Linked DNA regions of Rhinolophus ferrumequinum. The protein of the gene in region 2 purifies or fractionates together with the protein of the main gene of each other region. This does not show direct contact. Links are inferred from orthologs where the notes say so. Each region holds a gene or a part of one and is shown on either strand. Other genes may lie near its edges.

The links.
Region 1: the proteins of RHEB (region 2) and RPTOR purify together in Homo sapiens (affinity purification with western blotting, with the first as the bait; 3 studies listed by BioGRID). This does not show direct contact. The link is inferred for Rhinolophus ferrumequinum from reciprocal best matches to the Homo sapiens genes RHEB and RPTOR.

What each region holds. Positions count from the first base shown.
Region 1 is NC_046304.1:53,773,224-53,781,214, reverse strand, and holds the start of RPTOR (regulatory-associated protein of mTOR), read right to left. Parts: upstream 3,022-7,991; 5' UTR 2,244-3,021; coding exon 2,082-2,243; intron 1-2,081. UniProt on the Homo sapiens protein: Component of the mechanistic target of rapamycin complex 1 (mTORC1), an evolutionarily conserved central nutrient sensor that stimulates anabolic reactions and macromolecule biosynthesis to promote cellular biomass generation and growth.
Region 2 is NC_046309.1:3,537,172-3,544,683, reverse strand, and holds the start of RHEB (GTP-binding protein Rheb), read right to left. Parts: upstream 3,001-7,512; 5' UTR 2,567-3,000; coding exon 2,515-2,566; intron 1-2,514. UniProt on the Homo sapiens protein: Small GTPase that acts as an allosteric activator of the canonical mTORC1 complex, an evolutionarily conserved central nutrient sensor that stimulates anabolic reactions and macromolecule biosynthesis to promote cellular biomass generation and growth.

The DNA.
Region 1 (7,991 bases), on a different chromosome or scaffold from region 2:
GGGGTTCATACCACTATTTCTTGCTGGCGGCTGGGTTGGAGACACAGGAAGTAGGAGCCACGCAATCCGCCATCCACGCTTCTCTGCCAACCAACCAACCCCACTGTGCTGGCTGCAATCCGCGCTTGCTAGCTCAGCCGCGGCAGTTATATCAGTGGCCAATGGCTCACTAGTTACAGCTGACGGCCAACTAGTCACAGCTGACGGCCACCTACTACCTGAGCCAGCACCTTTCCACGTGAGGCTGAGAGCCTGGAAACTGCTCTCTGGGGCTCTGTCCCCACAGAAAGAAAGAAAGGGAGGGATGTGGCGTACTCTTCTAAGCCCCACTCTTCCACCCTCCAGAAAAATCAGACACAAGTCCAATGTCAGCTGCCATTTCTCTTTGAACCTGTGCCATTATTCTTCTTAGAGCTGGCCTGTTTCACTCACTTATGCTGCCTTCCAAATCTTACCGTCTTTGAATTCGCAGCCTTTGTCCTACTATGGTGTACTGAAAGGTCCCGTCAGGGTCCAACCAGTGGAAAGAGACGACAGGACTGTTAAGATGCCAAGCTCTCACAAACTTACTAAAACTGTCAGCTGCTGATTTTCTTCTTCACTGAACAATTTGCAAACGTCAGATACGGCAAACTTTCTCACCTGGCTCTTTTCTAAGTAGTAATCTCAGTAATTACTCAGATTCACAGAACTTGTCTTTCTCCTAATAACCTATGAAGAGCTTATCACGGGATGTTGATCACTCATAAACTTAATGTTTTAATTAAAAGGTCAAAAATATATCCACTTATCAGTTTTGAACTGTTTGAGCACAGGTTTAGGATAGCAGAGGAAACTACATTTCAAAAGGAAAAAAAAAATGCCCTCCAAATAGAATGAAAAAAAAAAATGATTAGACAGTAACTTTAAAATAAACTTTTTATACATGCAGAGACCACAAAAGCTTTGAACTATATAATTAGTACTAAAGAGGTCGTAAGACAGGCTTTATACAATCTCTTCTGATGACTGTCTCTTGCACTCCTTACACTGCTTTTGGCTGAAACAAATTTTCCTAACCTTTTAAAGAGAAGCTCAATCAGTAGCTGGTCACCAGTGATTGACTAGGACTGCCATAAGGCTGAGCTCACATGTTCAGCATCATATACTAAAAACAATAAATCATCTTATAGAAACACGTTCATGAGCTCAAAGCAATCCCATGGTAACACCAACTACCCCTCTTATACCACCAAAATGTTTAAATAAATACAGTCTTGAAGGAGAAAATAAACCACAGAAAGACAAATGATAAGTGTGCATAGCTGAGCCAGTCCCACACACTTGCTTTGGAGACCAGGAAAACAGACGGTCGTTGATTAAGGACAGAGTCAACAAAATGGGCTGTTTTCTTTCCTACCAGTTGCTTCTGAATCACTGTGCGCACTCCCAACACCATGGGGAGCCGCCGAAATCCTGGCCCCAAGTTCCATTCCATCTACTCTAACTCCTCCCCTGGAGAAATTCTGTCTCCAAGTCACAGCAACATGATAGCACGTAAAAGGAGGCAAGTCTGTATTCAAGACAAATGGTTTAGAAGGCTATGAAGTCCATTGTAACTTTAAAACAACTCTGCATTAATTTGTTACTAGATGAACGTTTGCCAGTAATCATGTTTCCTAGTAGCTATGTTAGACTTCTGGATTTCACCTGCTTGGACAAAAAGCGTCAACTCACCACAACAGACTCTCCACGTGGGGACAAGCAGTATATCTGACGATGTTTTTCCTCTAAGAACAGCACTGAGTATATCAAACAGCGCCTAAATATTTGCAGTGCTCTATTTGCAAACTTGCTTAACTTTTCTTGTTTGATGCAGAACTTGGTTTGACTTCACACTATCCTGTGAATTACTAAGCAAAACAGCCTTTGCATTTTCAGCCAAACACTGGCGTCTGACATGGTGTGTGGTTTTTAGTTGCCTTGCGACATGTGGCTAGGAAAATACGTCTCCCGCTTTCCCAAGGACGTGCTTTTGGCTCTGAACTTTCCTTTGTTGAAAAAACTCCCAAGGCCTCGGGGCGCAGCCGGAATCCACTTACCCGATCCTTCATCCTCCAGCTCTGCGCTAAGGACTTGGAGCCTTCGATTTTCTCGCAGTGCCTCTTTTTCATAAAAGCCAAAGGCAGGTTCCAGTCTGTCAGGTCGGCCTCATCTTCCTCCCCAAGCCCCAGAAGGGGCGACTGCAGCATTTCGGACTCCATCAGGGGGGGTGGGGGTGGGGGGGTCCTTGGCAGCAAGCGCTCGAGAACCTCCAGCCTTAAAAGCTAGTGGGCACCAGAACTGGTCAACTACAAAACAGATACGGGGGGAGTCAGAAACGAAACAAATGGAGAGCGTGCGGAGACCCTCGCTCTGGCAAAAAGTCTGCTGAAATCCTTTCTCTCCGAGGGAAGCCGGAGGGGGAGGAAGGGCCGGGGAGATGGGGCAGCGCAGGGGGCTCTGCACAGACGCACACGGCTGCTTCTGAGGCTGTCTGCTCCCGGGGGGCTGCGAGCGGAGCTGTCAGAGGCGTGCGGGGCTTCAGGCCGCACGATGACCCTGCGCTCGGCCTCCAACGCCTCGGCCGACCCGAGGACAGGCAGGCCGCCCGCTCCTGACGCCGGTTCGCCGACTGGGCTGACGTCTCCGGCCGAAGGGAAGGGGTTCGGAGCGCCCCGGGTCTCCTCCTGCCACTTTCAGCCCTGCGGGTCCCGCACTCGCCGCAGCTGCTGCAACCAGAGCCGGGACCGGCCCATCGTGCTCGTCCGCAGCCGGTTCCTCAGCCCCGGGTCCGCGCGGCCTGGCCGGTCCTGACCTTCGGCCCCGTGGCTCTCTCCTGCCTGAGAACGAGTCCTGAGAAACGGGCGACACGGCGCCGCGGAGAAAACAGGTAATGTGGGATTATTGGGTTTGGGGAGTTTTGCCCTCTGGTTTGAAGCTACAGTGAAACTCCTCTCATCAGCACATCAAGGAGGACGCCATATTGCTAAGACCCAGCATGCATCGCGATCTACGGCGTGGCTAACAGACCAAACTACCTCAGAGCGTTCCGGCCGCGCTTCCCAAGATGCGATGGGAGCAGTTTTTGCTCCAACTTCGTTACCGTGGTCACCACGGTGCAGCTTTCCAGAGTTTATTGCGATTCTTTCGCTGCGTGGTGGCAAAGTCAATCCTACAAATAAAACTATGTTAAATTAATTAACTTTGAAAAAAATCTTTTTATAATTACAAATGGACCCACGTGCTTCTGAAATTAAAGGAATCTCGACCCCTTTGTTGTTTTCTTTCAGATTTTGAAAAGGCAGGAAAAGCTTCAGAAAGAACCATTGATAATATTACAAAAGAAGATGGGATTTGGGGTGGGGGGAGGGTTTGTGTGCGTGTAGTATCCTTCACAGTACCAATCAGATTTTCAGGGAACACCAAGAGAAAAGAATAATTTCAATGATTGCAATTTTTTGTTTAATCCATCTTACTTTCTGAGCAGTTTATTCCTGTTTTGAGATAGCTTCATGTGCAAACAACTAAAACCTACAGATTTCTAGGCGTGGATGTACGCCTCCTGCGTAACTTTCTTTCTCTGCTTCAGTTCAGCAGACTTTGCTTATTTATAATGTGTGCAGACCTTGTCCGGTGCAGGAGGGAACACAAAACCCAACCAGCGTGCAGAGCCTGCCTTCAATCAATGTCCTGTCTAGTGAGACACACAGTAACCTTTAGGCAAAGCCCAGCAGGGGGCCAGGGGTTGGTCTTCCTCCCTTCCACTGGGCTTTGGTGTCAGGCGCACCTGTATCACTTTCCATCTCTGTGGCCTTAGTCAATCCCTTAAAGAGCTCAATCTTAGTTTCCCAGCTATAACACGGGGATAATAACACCCACCTGGAAGGATAAAATTAACCTGTGAAGGTGACTAGTATATCGTGAGTGCCCAGTACACTAGCAACGACCACTGTATAGCCAAAATGAAATGTAGGCGCCCTGGGTACCTTATTCATCCAAAAACCTCAGGCTGGGCTCTAGAAGATACCTTTTCTCAGTGTGGCTTCTCAGGGCTGTGACACCACGTGGTGGTCCACGTCGAAATCCTGAGGACGCTTGTGTTCCTTTCCACATCCGAGTGAACAGTGCAATCCCAGATCTTTCTCATTTGGCACATAGCAAGCGTTTACTAAAAGTTCTTGGATTAAATCAGTCCAAACATGAAGTCATTCCACACATTCATTCAGTTCTTACATCTCTATGAGCCCAATCCTTCCATTACAACTCAGGGCAAAATCACCAAAACACAGATGGAGGCTAAAATCTTCCTTTTCCCTGTGCTCTGTGTTGGCAAAACATGCCACCGTCACCAGCAGAGGCTTCAGGACTGCGAGGTCCTGAGAAGGCCCTGTTCTTGAAACTGGAGGGCAACCGAGTCCGGGGCTCATGCCGCCTGTGCCGGCCAGCCGATACACAGACACAGGGGCTGTGTCTGGGCTGTAGAACAAGCATTTATTATCGGAACACACACGTGATCTGATAAGGCAGCAGGTCAAGACCTCCAAAAACTGCCTTCATTCTCTCAGACCGGCTTAGGATATTTAAGGGAAAACATGGGAGTTCCTCCAGAGGCTACATGATGGTTCCAGGGGTCTGCACGGAGCCTTCCCTGTGGCCACGTGGTTCTCCCCGTGGTGTCAGCAGCCCAGGAACAGTGATGGGAGTATCCTGGAAAGAATGCTAGACCACAGAGATTGTGATCAGTAAGCCTAAGGGTATTAACCATAAGTTTCAGGGTGACTTTCTAAAGCTGGGAACCGGGACAGGGGACATTCCGAGCTCAAGCCACAGGGGGACAATCTATTACTAAGCTATATGAAGGAAAGGCGAGGCCGGGACGCGCAAGGCCTCCACTGCGGGGGAGGGGGGTCCCAGCCGGGCCCTGTTTCATTCTCACCTGAACGCAACACCACGACTCCAGCTGCTGCCTTGCCACCCTGCAGCACACGACAGTGAGGGGCCACAGATAACCACTCCAGGCACTAGTGCTGGGAGGAAGCCACGGCAGCAGAAAAGCAGCTGCATAGTTAGTTCTGTGACCTGGGGAAACCCACTTAATCTGTGTGAGACCCAGTTTCCTCATCTGTTCAGTATGTGTCACCTTGGGAAAGCCACTCGCCTTGTCTGAGTGTCCACAAAGTCAGTAAAGGAGGCCACGGCACGCACACCTGGCAGCTTGTCAGAATCGCCGGGGAAACTGTTTTAAAATGAAGATGCCAGGGTCCCATCCTAGATGTACTGAGCCACAAGGAGAGGGAAGAAAGGATTCAGCCTCTGGGTTTTTTAATCAGGTAACCCTGGTGATAGCTTCACATGAGCCAGATGTGGGGGATCGGACAATATTCTAAGGACATTAGGCAGCATTCTCCTCTAATGAGTCCGTTCCAGCCACGTGACGGGCCCTCAGTAAATACTGCGGGCGCCAAAAAATATATACACATGACTTGTATTTATCTGTTGTTATTGTGTATATGGAGCATTACAATTTTAATACAGTTTTTTCCTTTCTTAAAATGTGTATACATTTTTTTGGCACCCTCTGTATGTGTACCGAGTAAGTGAATGCTCCGAAGCACTTATCCAATCTTCCATCCAACAAGTCACAGCAGGAGTCACCCCCTACTGGACGACAAGTGTGACCCCAGAACCAAGAGGCCATCTGGGGTCCACGTCCCGAACTGAAGGTCAGGATACACACTCCGGTCCCTGGTTCACCACCCATTCCTGTAGCCATGGCCAAGATGCTGCCATTCCCATCCTCAGGCTCCACATCGGGGTGACATGGGTGACGTGAAGAAGGTAAATCTCTAAGGGCACTTCGGGGTCAAAATTCTGTGACCATGTGTAAATCAGGAAGGGGCTGGTGACAGCCCAGCTCCCAGTCTGAAGGTTTAAGAATGGGCTTGAGTCATTTCAAAGCATCATGACATTTAAAAGCAAACTCGTTCTGATGTGTCATGGGTGACTGTTCAAGTCCCAGATAAGCATTTGGAAGGGTGGCTCCAGGTTTCCGGATGGCAGTGAGAGGCTCTGAGTAATGGCAGGCTGGAAATTCACAGGCTAATCTTTCTCACCTCGGTGATCTTATTACCCGGCGTGCGATGGGCTGGCGACTTGGGCCTGCAGTTCCAATTTCCGGTGTCTCCAATTCTTCACAGGCAAGGACATTGCCTGCTTTCCACAAAGCCTCTAAACAAGACAGTTTAATCTTGAAAACAAGTGAATCTCAAAAAATGCACGGAACCTGGTCTAACACAAGCTATGAAAGCAGGGGAGGGTGTTGATGACCTCCTGCTGATGGCTGCCATCAGGCTGCAGGTGTGGAAGCGGGGGAGGCTCTGATCTGAAACAGCAGAATAACCCTAAACCTGCCTGTATAGAGAGGGGGACCTCGCCCTAGAACGTGAAGGTGATCAGATGACCCCTTCCAGCCTCACTCGGGCTACTTGGCAACCAGAAGCCAAAGATACAGCAAAGTGAGCAGAGAACACATTTACAAACCTGAGTGTGTCGGTCAAATACAACAGAAGTCACGGGAAATATGGGTGGGGGGAGGGAAGATGGGCAGGGCGGGGGCCTGAATAAACGCCTCAGGCACTGTACACAGCACAGGAAGAACGAAAGCGCCTGGAGTTTCAGAGCTTCCAACCTCAGCTGCTGGCCCATGCAAGGGACCTAATCTTTCCTCCAGGCACAAGACCATGGCAGCCCAGGCGAGGCAGAACCAGCTGCGCTCTGCCCTCCAACGCTGCAGCTTCTCCACTAAATCAATCAAGGGCATTGAATGTCCTGTCATCAAGAATCAGTAGCGAGACGGGAGGTCAAGCAGCTCGAGAAAACCAGGAACTTCGCTGAGCTCTTGTTTTCCACGCGGGGAGACGGGCCGGCTTCTGTCCTTTCCAGAGAAATCGGTGCTTAGGCTAAAAGAAACCAAAATAGATATAAAGCACTTTGCTTTTTCTGAGCGTCATTACACTATTTTTAGCAAAATCCAAGCCACCTCCCTCTGCAGGTCAGATGTTTTGTTGACAGGGGCCGAGGAGAGGGAAGAGGGGTAGGAGCAGCCCCAGCGTCGCCCTCCGCCCGCCCTCCGTGGGAAATGCAAGGCTGCAGAAGCCAAGGGAATATCGTCCTCTCCACCCAGTTCATCCGTCTAAAAATCGTCATGTTTCTGTATGTGATCTCACCCCCTCCAGTTTACCTTTCTATTTTATTCATATTTTTTATACTGAGCAAGTACAGTTTTGATAAGCAGAGACTGTTATTCCATTCCAAAACAGGGGCAAGCCCTGAGAAGCACAGGGGCTATGGTAAAAAGCGGCTCTTGTTGAACAGACGCCACCCACTACCCACACTTCTTCTATCAGAATTGAGAACTTGTGTGCGGCCTCCGCCACCGACAGAGCCGAGAAGGAAATGCACGAAGGCAAGGGAACAGAAGTGGATCCTGGGGGTAGAATCCCAAGATGTGACCTGTGCCCAGGGCAGACAGTGTCTGAAAAGAAAAAAAGGAAACCTTGTATGATAGAAACTACCGTGTTTCCCCAAAAATAAGACCTAGCCGGAGCACCAGCTCTAATGTGTCTGATTAGACACATTATGGAGCAAAAATTAATATAAGACCCGGTCTTATTTTACTAGAAGACCAGGTATAATATAATATATTACCAAGTCTTCTATTAATTTTTGCTCCAAAAGATGCATTAGAGCTGACGGGCTGACTAGGTCTTATTTTGGGGGAAACACAGTACGATGAGAAAATTTGTTATCCAATAAAAACCATTCAAATTGAATTTTACAACCTTTTATTTGAGTAATATTGCCTACAATAAGATTCTACCTTTATGAGAATACAAACTATATCACCAACTGTCTCTCTTTACAGTCTTTTTAAACTCCCCATTTGTTATTTTCCGTAACATTCACATCTC
Region 2 (7,512 bases):
TTCGTCAGTGTTTACAAAAAAGTACAAAATCTGAAAGTCAAGTACTAAAACAATTATAGCATTTAGTAGTTTTTACCTGAAGGTAAACTTAAAAAAAGAAAGAAAGAAAAATTTTAAAAAAAGGAGAACATTCTAAGAAAGGCATGGTTTCTAGCTATACCTTTATCTACCACTTCTAACCCCAGTCAATATGATACAACAAATTAGCATCACAAAATAACACAACCTAGAAACAAATGTGCTAAATTTTCTCTAGTATAGCACCATTTGCAAGCAAACACATCAGTCACCTCCTAGAGGTCCACACACTGAATAATTCTCTGAAGACTGGCTAGTGCATGGGAATCAGGGAACCACTTTCTTCTTCCTTGCTGGCAAAACAAAAGACCCCACAAACTCCAAAGTATCCTGACTCAGAACAAAGGTTAAGAACTTTAAAATCAAATGCAAAAACTGGGAGTAATTTAATCTTTGCAAAATACCTTTTACTTTAATCATCACTACACTTGAAAATAAATATGGAGAAAATGGAGTAGGATATAGTAACAGGACATATTGAGGGCACAGAAAATAGGGACTAGAACTTACTTTGTGTCCCACTGGACGCTAATTTAGCACAGTATTTTAACAGCCTGTTTGTTAAAATAAACAGTTTAAAATAAACGTTTGTGAAGAGAAGACTAACCGGTGACCTGTCACATCTGGGTCTTTAGAAGGGGATGATGAGAAGGAAGAGAAAACAGAAGGATTTCAACTGAACATAAGGAACTTCTTTAGCAAAAGAGTGATAAAACACTAGACTTGCTTACAGAATCATCACCTCAAGAATTTCAAGGTGTGAGTAAGTCAGCATCTTTGGGACATTCTCGAATTGAAATCTGGTAGCCCAGGTACATATCACCTGTAACTTGATTATTCAGAGACTGCTATCTTCATTTAGTGGGCACTATGTATCTGATTAGACATGTCACAGGCCCACTCTTCAAAATGCAGAGGAGGAGGAAATAAGGAGAACACAGAAGCAAGGGCTGGGTGATTCAGGCTGCCAATAATGGATGAATGCGGGGTTCCATATGGACATTTCGGGAGTGCACTATTCGTGACTGTAAAAGCCTCACTTTGAGGCATGGGTCCTTTTGGCTGCCGCTGTTAAGGCTGTCACCTATTCTTCCCCCACATACACCCAGGATTTGGCACTGCATCATACAACAGTCATCCTATGACTCTTGGAAGCCCCTATCTCTCTCTGTCAAAGTGCTTTGGGATGGATGCCCCCATCCCAAAGCACTTTGACAGAGAGAGATGATAAAAGGATGAGTAAGCATGCGGTAGCTGATCTTGGTCAAAGAGCACAGACCCTGGAACCCACGGTGGAAAATGGGGGGAGGAAGAGAACAGCAAGTGCAGTCGGGAGTTCATCCAGAGCTGTGAGCAGTTACAAGCTTTCCTACAGCAGGTATAGTTACCACCCGTTGCAATCACCATAGACTCCAAGCCCTCGCTTTCAGCTCCTTCCCCCCACTGCACTCAAGTGCACATTTTCCTTGGACAGCTACTCCTTAAAAACAACTTGAAAAGATAAATGTAATTTCCCCCGGCTTCTGCTTGTCAAAGACAATAAAGCCTCACCCTGAAGCACGGTGAAGTTCAACGGTTCTGTTCTCTTACTCTTTTTTTTGGCACGCGGTCCACCCCCCACCCCAACCACAGACCACCTCAGTTCGGTAAAAAGGCGACTGCCGGGAACAGTTTTAAATACGTCAACCTTTTGTTGGGGGGGAAAAAAACCCCACCACAACAAACTTCTGAATTACTTCAACAGCCCGGTTACAAGTACTTGACCTTATTTGCGCCAAAAAAAAAAAAAAAAAAAAAATAGGACACCGAGAGATCAGAAATGTTTTTCTCCCTGCCTTCCTACTTTGGTCGGGGCGGCATCTGGGGGCTACCCAAGAGGGCTCTTGTAGGGCTTCTTCGATAGGAAACTTGCTCTCAGTAGCCAAACGTCCTTTAGGCCCCTGGTTTTCTTTAAAATGTTTAACTTCATAGACAGAAAAAAACCCGAGGTGATGTTTCCTTTGTTAAAATCCCACGGACTTTATTTAATTTGCGGCGGAAAGGCTGCTAGCCGCGATCACGACAGCAAGCCGCGAAAAGGCGGTGAGACAGGTGCGATTTCTCCCTCTGGGGTGCCCTGCGGCAGTTCTGGGAGGGCGGCGGACCCCTCCAGCGCCACCCGGGCCCGAACGAACCTGTGACTCCCCTCGCGTCCGCGGCCTCCCCAGACACGTCCTCCCCGCGTCCCGGCCGCCCCCTGCCGCCGCCGCCCCGCGGGGCCCGGCCTCACCGCCGGCGCCGCTCAAAATGGAGGTGGCGGCGGCGGGCGGCTGGTTACGAAACGCGCGGCCGCCACATGGCCGCGCCAGCCCCAAACTTGGCCGGGTCCGCCGCGTCCCGGCGCCTAGACGAGGCCGGGCTCGGGCGCAAGGAGGCCGCGCGGCGCCCGCCACTCACCCACGGACCGGTAGCCCAAGATCGCGATCTTCCGGGACTTGGACTGCGGCATCTTGGCGGCCTCCTCAGGCCCGGGCCAACCACATCAACTGCGGCGGCGGCGGCTCCTGTGCTGCGATCGGCGGCGGCCGCGCCGGGGCAGAGCGGCATCCAGGGGCGGGGCGGGGCGGGCGGGCGCGGGCGGGCGCGGCTGCCTCGGCTCCAAGCTCGCGCGCCCAACCGCCCGGAACCGCCGCGTGGACCCGCCCCCAAACACGCCCACGTGACCTCCCGCCGCCGCCGCCGGCGGCTCCCCAGCGACTCGCGTCAGCGCCCCCGCCCCAACCGCGGCGGCCGCCCCCGCCCCAGAAAAGCACAGGGGTGCGTCGGGCAACGTTTTACTTTAAAGGGAGAAAAAGGCGACGCCGAGATACCCCCGGAAATGTCACGACTGAAACTCGCTGCGTCATGACCCTCCCTCCGTCTTCCGCCGCTTTTTAATTACGCCAGTTCTCCTCCAATGTGTATTGGACAACTTTCGCCCGCCCGCGCGGTGACGCGACGGAAACTCCGTTTCCCATTGGGGGTGGCGAGGAGGCGGAGCCTGAGGGCGGGGCTGCTCGCCCTGGAGCTAAAAATAAAATCAGGCTGCGACCGCGCGGTTGTGCGCCAGTGAGGTTTGAAGGCTTCGGAAGTCGCAGGGGTGGGGGGCGGGCGGGAGCGGAGAGAAGCTAGCTTCCCAGTGATTGGTTAGAGCAGGTTGAGAGGCGGAGCAAGCTGCGGGGGGCGCGGTGATTGGCGAAACGACGAGCGGTTGGTGGACTCGCTACCCCCGAGCCGTTAAAAGGCGAGAGGCGCGAGGCGCGTGGCTGTTACCTCCTGGCCCGTGGGTTGGCTGTGTTTTTTTAAAGGCCCTTTGATATATTGGCGTTTAAGTCTGGGTTTGGAGGTGTACGTGGTGACTAAACGTCATCCAAGGTGAGGGGCCGTGAGAAGAATGGACAGTGCATTAATTCAAAATGTTTTTCATTTCATTCAAAATGTGTGCGTTTCCCCAGTTCCGGTCTCAACCCTGCCACGTGCCGACGCGGCACACCTCAGTAGACAAACTTAAAACACTAGTTGTTGTTGGCTGCGAACGTTCCAGAACCGTCATTCCGACGGGGCTCGCTCTCCGGTGTGGGCTGACCTCTCCAGACGCGGCCGTGTTTTCCACAAAAGGCGCACTGACAACCCCTTTTCCCCGGTGCTGGTGAAGAGCCCTTGGCGGGGCACCAATGATGAGTGCAGGGACAGCAGCCCGGGGCCTCCGTCATGGAAAATGAAGGGGAAAGCCAGGCCTGGGAAGTGAGGACAGTTGGGAGATTTCCAGCTAGGGAGACTTCCATCATGGTAGATATTCCTGCCCTTGGTGATTGCTAAAAAAGCAGATACCCCGCTACTCGTACGAATGACCCGTTGGCCTCCGGCTGTTAGACAGTGTTGACCTGTTGAGTGGGACAACTTGCTGGTCATGCATGGCTTTTTGCCTTTTCCAGTGAACACAGAGAAGGAGCCCCAGGAAGCTGAGCGGCAAGATTGGATTCCTGGGTATGAAGATTTAGAGGTGACTGTCCCATAAATATGCCTGTTGAGTTAGCACACTGGCGTTAAGACTGAGTCCTTCTCTGCCCCGGCCACGTACTCCGGCCACGTACTCCTCGGAGAAGGGGCATATGCATTTTATGCATTTTTTCCTTGGAGGGAGGCGGGTGTCTACAGATCGAAGCTTCAGGCATCCAGCTGTGAGAAATGTCTTTGAAATTCTGTGTTTTATCTCAATGGATTTTTGCATTCTACTCTATAATTAGTTGAAATATGTAAAAACTTCAGGTCTAAAAATGGACTCTCCAGGGAAATGTATCATTTTCATCCTGCGGGTTTGGATATCCCCAACCACAGTATTTTGAACTGATAGTACTCGACTCCCTGGTGGGTTGTGAAATCAGCTTAGTGGGTGTTACCTTCTTTTTTCTTTTCTTGCTTTTTTTTCTTTAATAGAACAGAATGGAAAATAGTATGTTGCCTACAGAAAGTATTGTTTCATCACATTTTTGTTGTGTGGATATATATTTACAGATGTGATATATATGTATTGTGTACTGAGTCCCATGGTAAAATCTGTTTCTTACTGAGGTTGCCTCAAAAAGTTTGAATGCACTGCCTTAGTCTAGGAATATTAGGAATCCAGACCAAGAAGTGCAGTTGTCCAGCACAAATCATTTAAGAAATGTTCCAATTGTCTTAAAGCCCTTTAAGGTTAGTCAGACCCAGGAGTTTTGAAGATTCCTTTGTTCTAGAGTGGGGAGAATTCGGTTTAAGAAATGACTCAGATTACCTAAAATAATTGGAATTGATGGTATGAATTCACATAGAAATAACTGATTGCAGCCAAATCTTACAGGAACATGGGTGGGAGAAGTGGACTTGCTTCTAAATGCAAAGTAGTTTCACTGATGAGATCACTTGTTAACCTTTTAAGCAGCTGGAACTTGTGCTTCTTTCTATTCAGGGCTGCTCTGTCTTGTGAACTCTGCATGCTAACTTCTGTGTTTTCTTCCACTGCCTTCTGTTTCCCTGGGAACCAAGAACTCCGTCTCTTCCATTTAAATTCCAGAGAGAGGACATGATTGGTTCAGCTCATTACCATCATCGCTCAAGTGAAGGGCTCATACTAAACCTGCAGATGGGCCGAAGCTTCTGCTGGCCTGAACCCCCTGCGTTGGTTGATGAGGAAGTTAGTGGAAGTTATTTGAAGCTGGAACTGTCCACATCATAGGAACATTTAACTTGCTGTGAGCATTGACAAGTTCAGTGACATCTGATTTCTAATTCCAACATAGTTTTTTAATTCCCAGGGGTAATATACAAAACTTCCTTTTTTTCCCTACCATTGAGAAAGAATGCTTGTTTTTTCCTGAAAGGACATTTGTGACATTATTTTACCTTTTTTACATGGGAAAGAGTACCCCTAAATGAAAGTAGACATGAAAGTGTTTAGTTTTTTAAGTGTTTGTTAGAGGATGAATGGAAAAGAACTAGACTCGTCTTCTTCTTGGAGTAGCCAAACCAGACTGATACGTTATGTCTCACGTGGGTATTGTTCAAATCAAACAGTGCAGGTTTGGGGATAGAGGCCAAGGTCGTTTCATTGTGTGGTCGTCTTGTTGGAGTCCAGAGGACAGATCCTGCTCGTGTGGCGGGGGGCCTGGTTTCCTCGGCAGGTCCTTACTAAGCCTGCCCTCAGCGTCTTAGTATGAGGCCATCCTGGGGAAGGCAAATCCCGGACTGGGATGAAAGAATCTCCCCTCGCTGAAGCCAGGGATCAGTCTGGCCCAAACCTGTGGTATGGAGTTGCATGGAGTGCTCCCAGGAGAGGGGCGTGAGGCCAGCCAGCCTAAGTCTACGTAGGGAGGACATGCGTGGCGGAGGAGGTTGGCTCCGGAAGGAGCTCTGAGGGCAGGTCCAGGCTGATGCAGTAGTTGTAAATTGTTCTCAACTATTAGGGGCTGAATGTGCCCTCCCCCCCCCAAAAAAAAAAGATATGTTGAAGTCCTAACCCTCTCAGAATGTGATCTTATTTGGGCATAGGGCTGTTGCAGAGTTAATTATTTGAGACCATACTGAAGTAGAGGGGCCCCTAATCCAACATGACTGGTGTCCTCAAAAGAGAAGAGACACAGGCACACAGACACAGAGGGAAGACAGCCCCGTGATGAGAGATTGGAGTGATGCTGCCACAAGCCAGGGAATGCCTGGGCTCACAGAAGCTGGAGGAGGTGAGGAGGATCCGCCCCTGGAGACTTCAGAGGCAGCGTGACCTTGCTGACACCTTGACTTGGGACTTCTGGCCTCCAAAATAAATTTACTTTATTTTAAGCCACCAGTCTGTGGTACGTTGTTACAGCAGCCCTAGAAAACTAACACATCAACTATAAAATTCTCAAAAAATTTTCATTAAAAGTTCGAGTCTAGTTTCTGCTGGGCTGTGGAAGAAATGGGCCTTCTCCGCAAGCCCCCAAGCCACAGTGCACCTGATAGCAGCTTTCGCCAGCAGAGGAGCTGCAGTGCCCAGCAGAGCAAGTCTTCTGAGGGTCACATGGCTGGAGCAGAACTCCTGTGCCAAAGCCTGCGCGATGACAGCACGTGGGGAATGCTCAGGAAGACGCAAGAGGCCAATTCCTTACAATAAAACAAGGGATGGCTCATGCCAGTGAGGCTTGGGTTACCTACGTTCTGCAGATGTGCCTTAGATGTGGCATTTAGTCACAGTGTTCATGGCCACCGAAGGATGTAATTACCGGTGAGGGACATGTTCACTATTGGTTCCTCCTCCTGTGTGAAGGGTTGTCTCATTGTTGGAATTTCTTTCATTGGTGTGCAGAAAAAGAATAGAACTTCTATTTTTAAAACATTTTTATTTTACAAATAAAGAATTGAGCTTTACTAATATGTAACGTATGGACTGACCATGGCACCCTCATAGCCTGTATGACAAGACAGATGGTGCCGGGTCATGACTGGTCTGAGAGGTATCCTGGGTGGCACTTCCACAAAAGGGAGGGGTTGGCATTAGTGCCCTCACTGTTTTGTGCTCAGAATATTATACTGTATTGCTTTTCATGCATCATCAGGTTCTGAGGAATTACAGAATCTACTACGTAAGTTCTGTTAAACTAAATTAAATCTAACAAAATGGTCATTGGTCTTTGAAGATTCCTTCAAAGAAACCATGAATTAATGATGAGAATAAAAACACAACATGAGCACACACTAAGAAAAATGGGAAAGCCATCACCTCTTCCTTGAATGAGCTCTTTATCAGCTACATTATAGGCAAACCCGATAATCTACTCACATGACAAAAATTTTTACAGAAACGTAAAAATTAACAAGAGTATTTAAAATACGGATTCGTATCCACTAGCATTAATGATGACTACGTGTAATTAGACCTTGATATTAGCTCATGAAATAGTA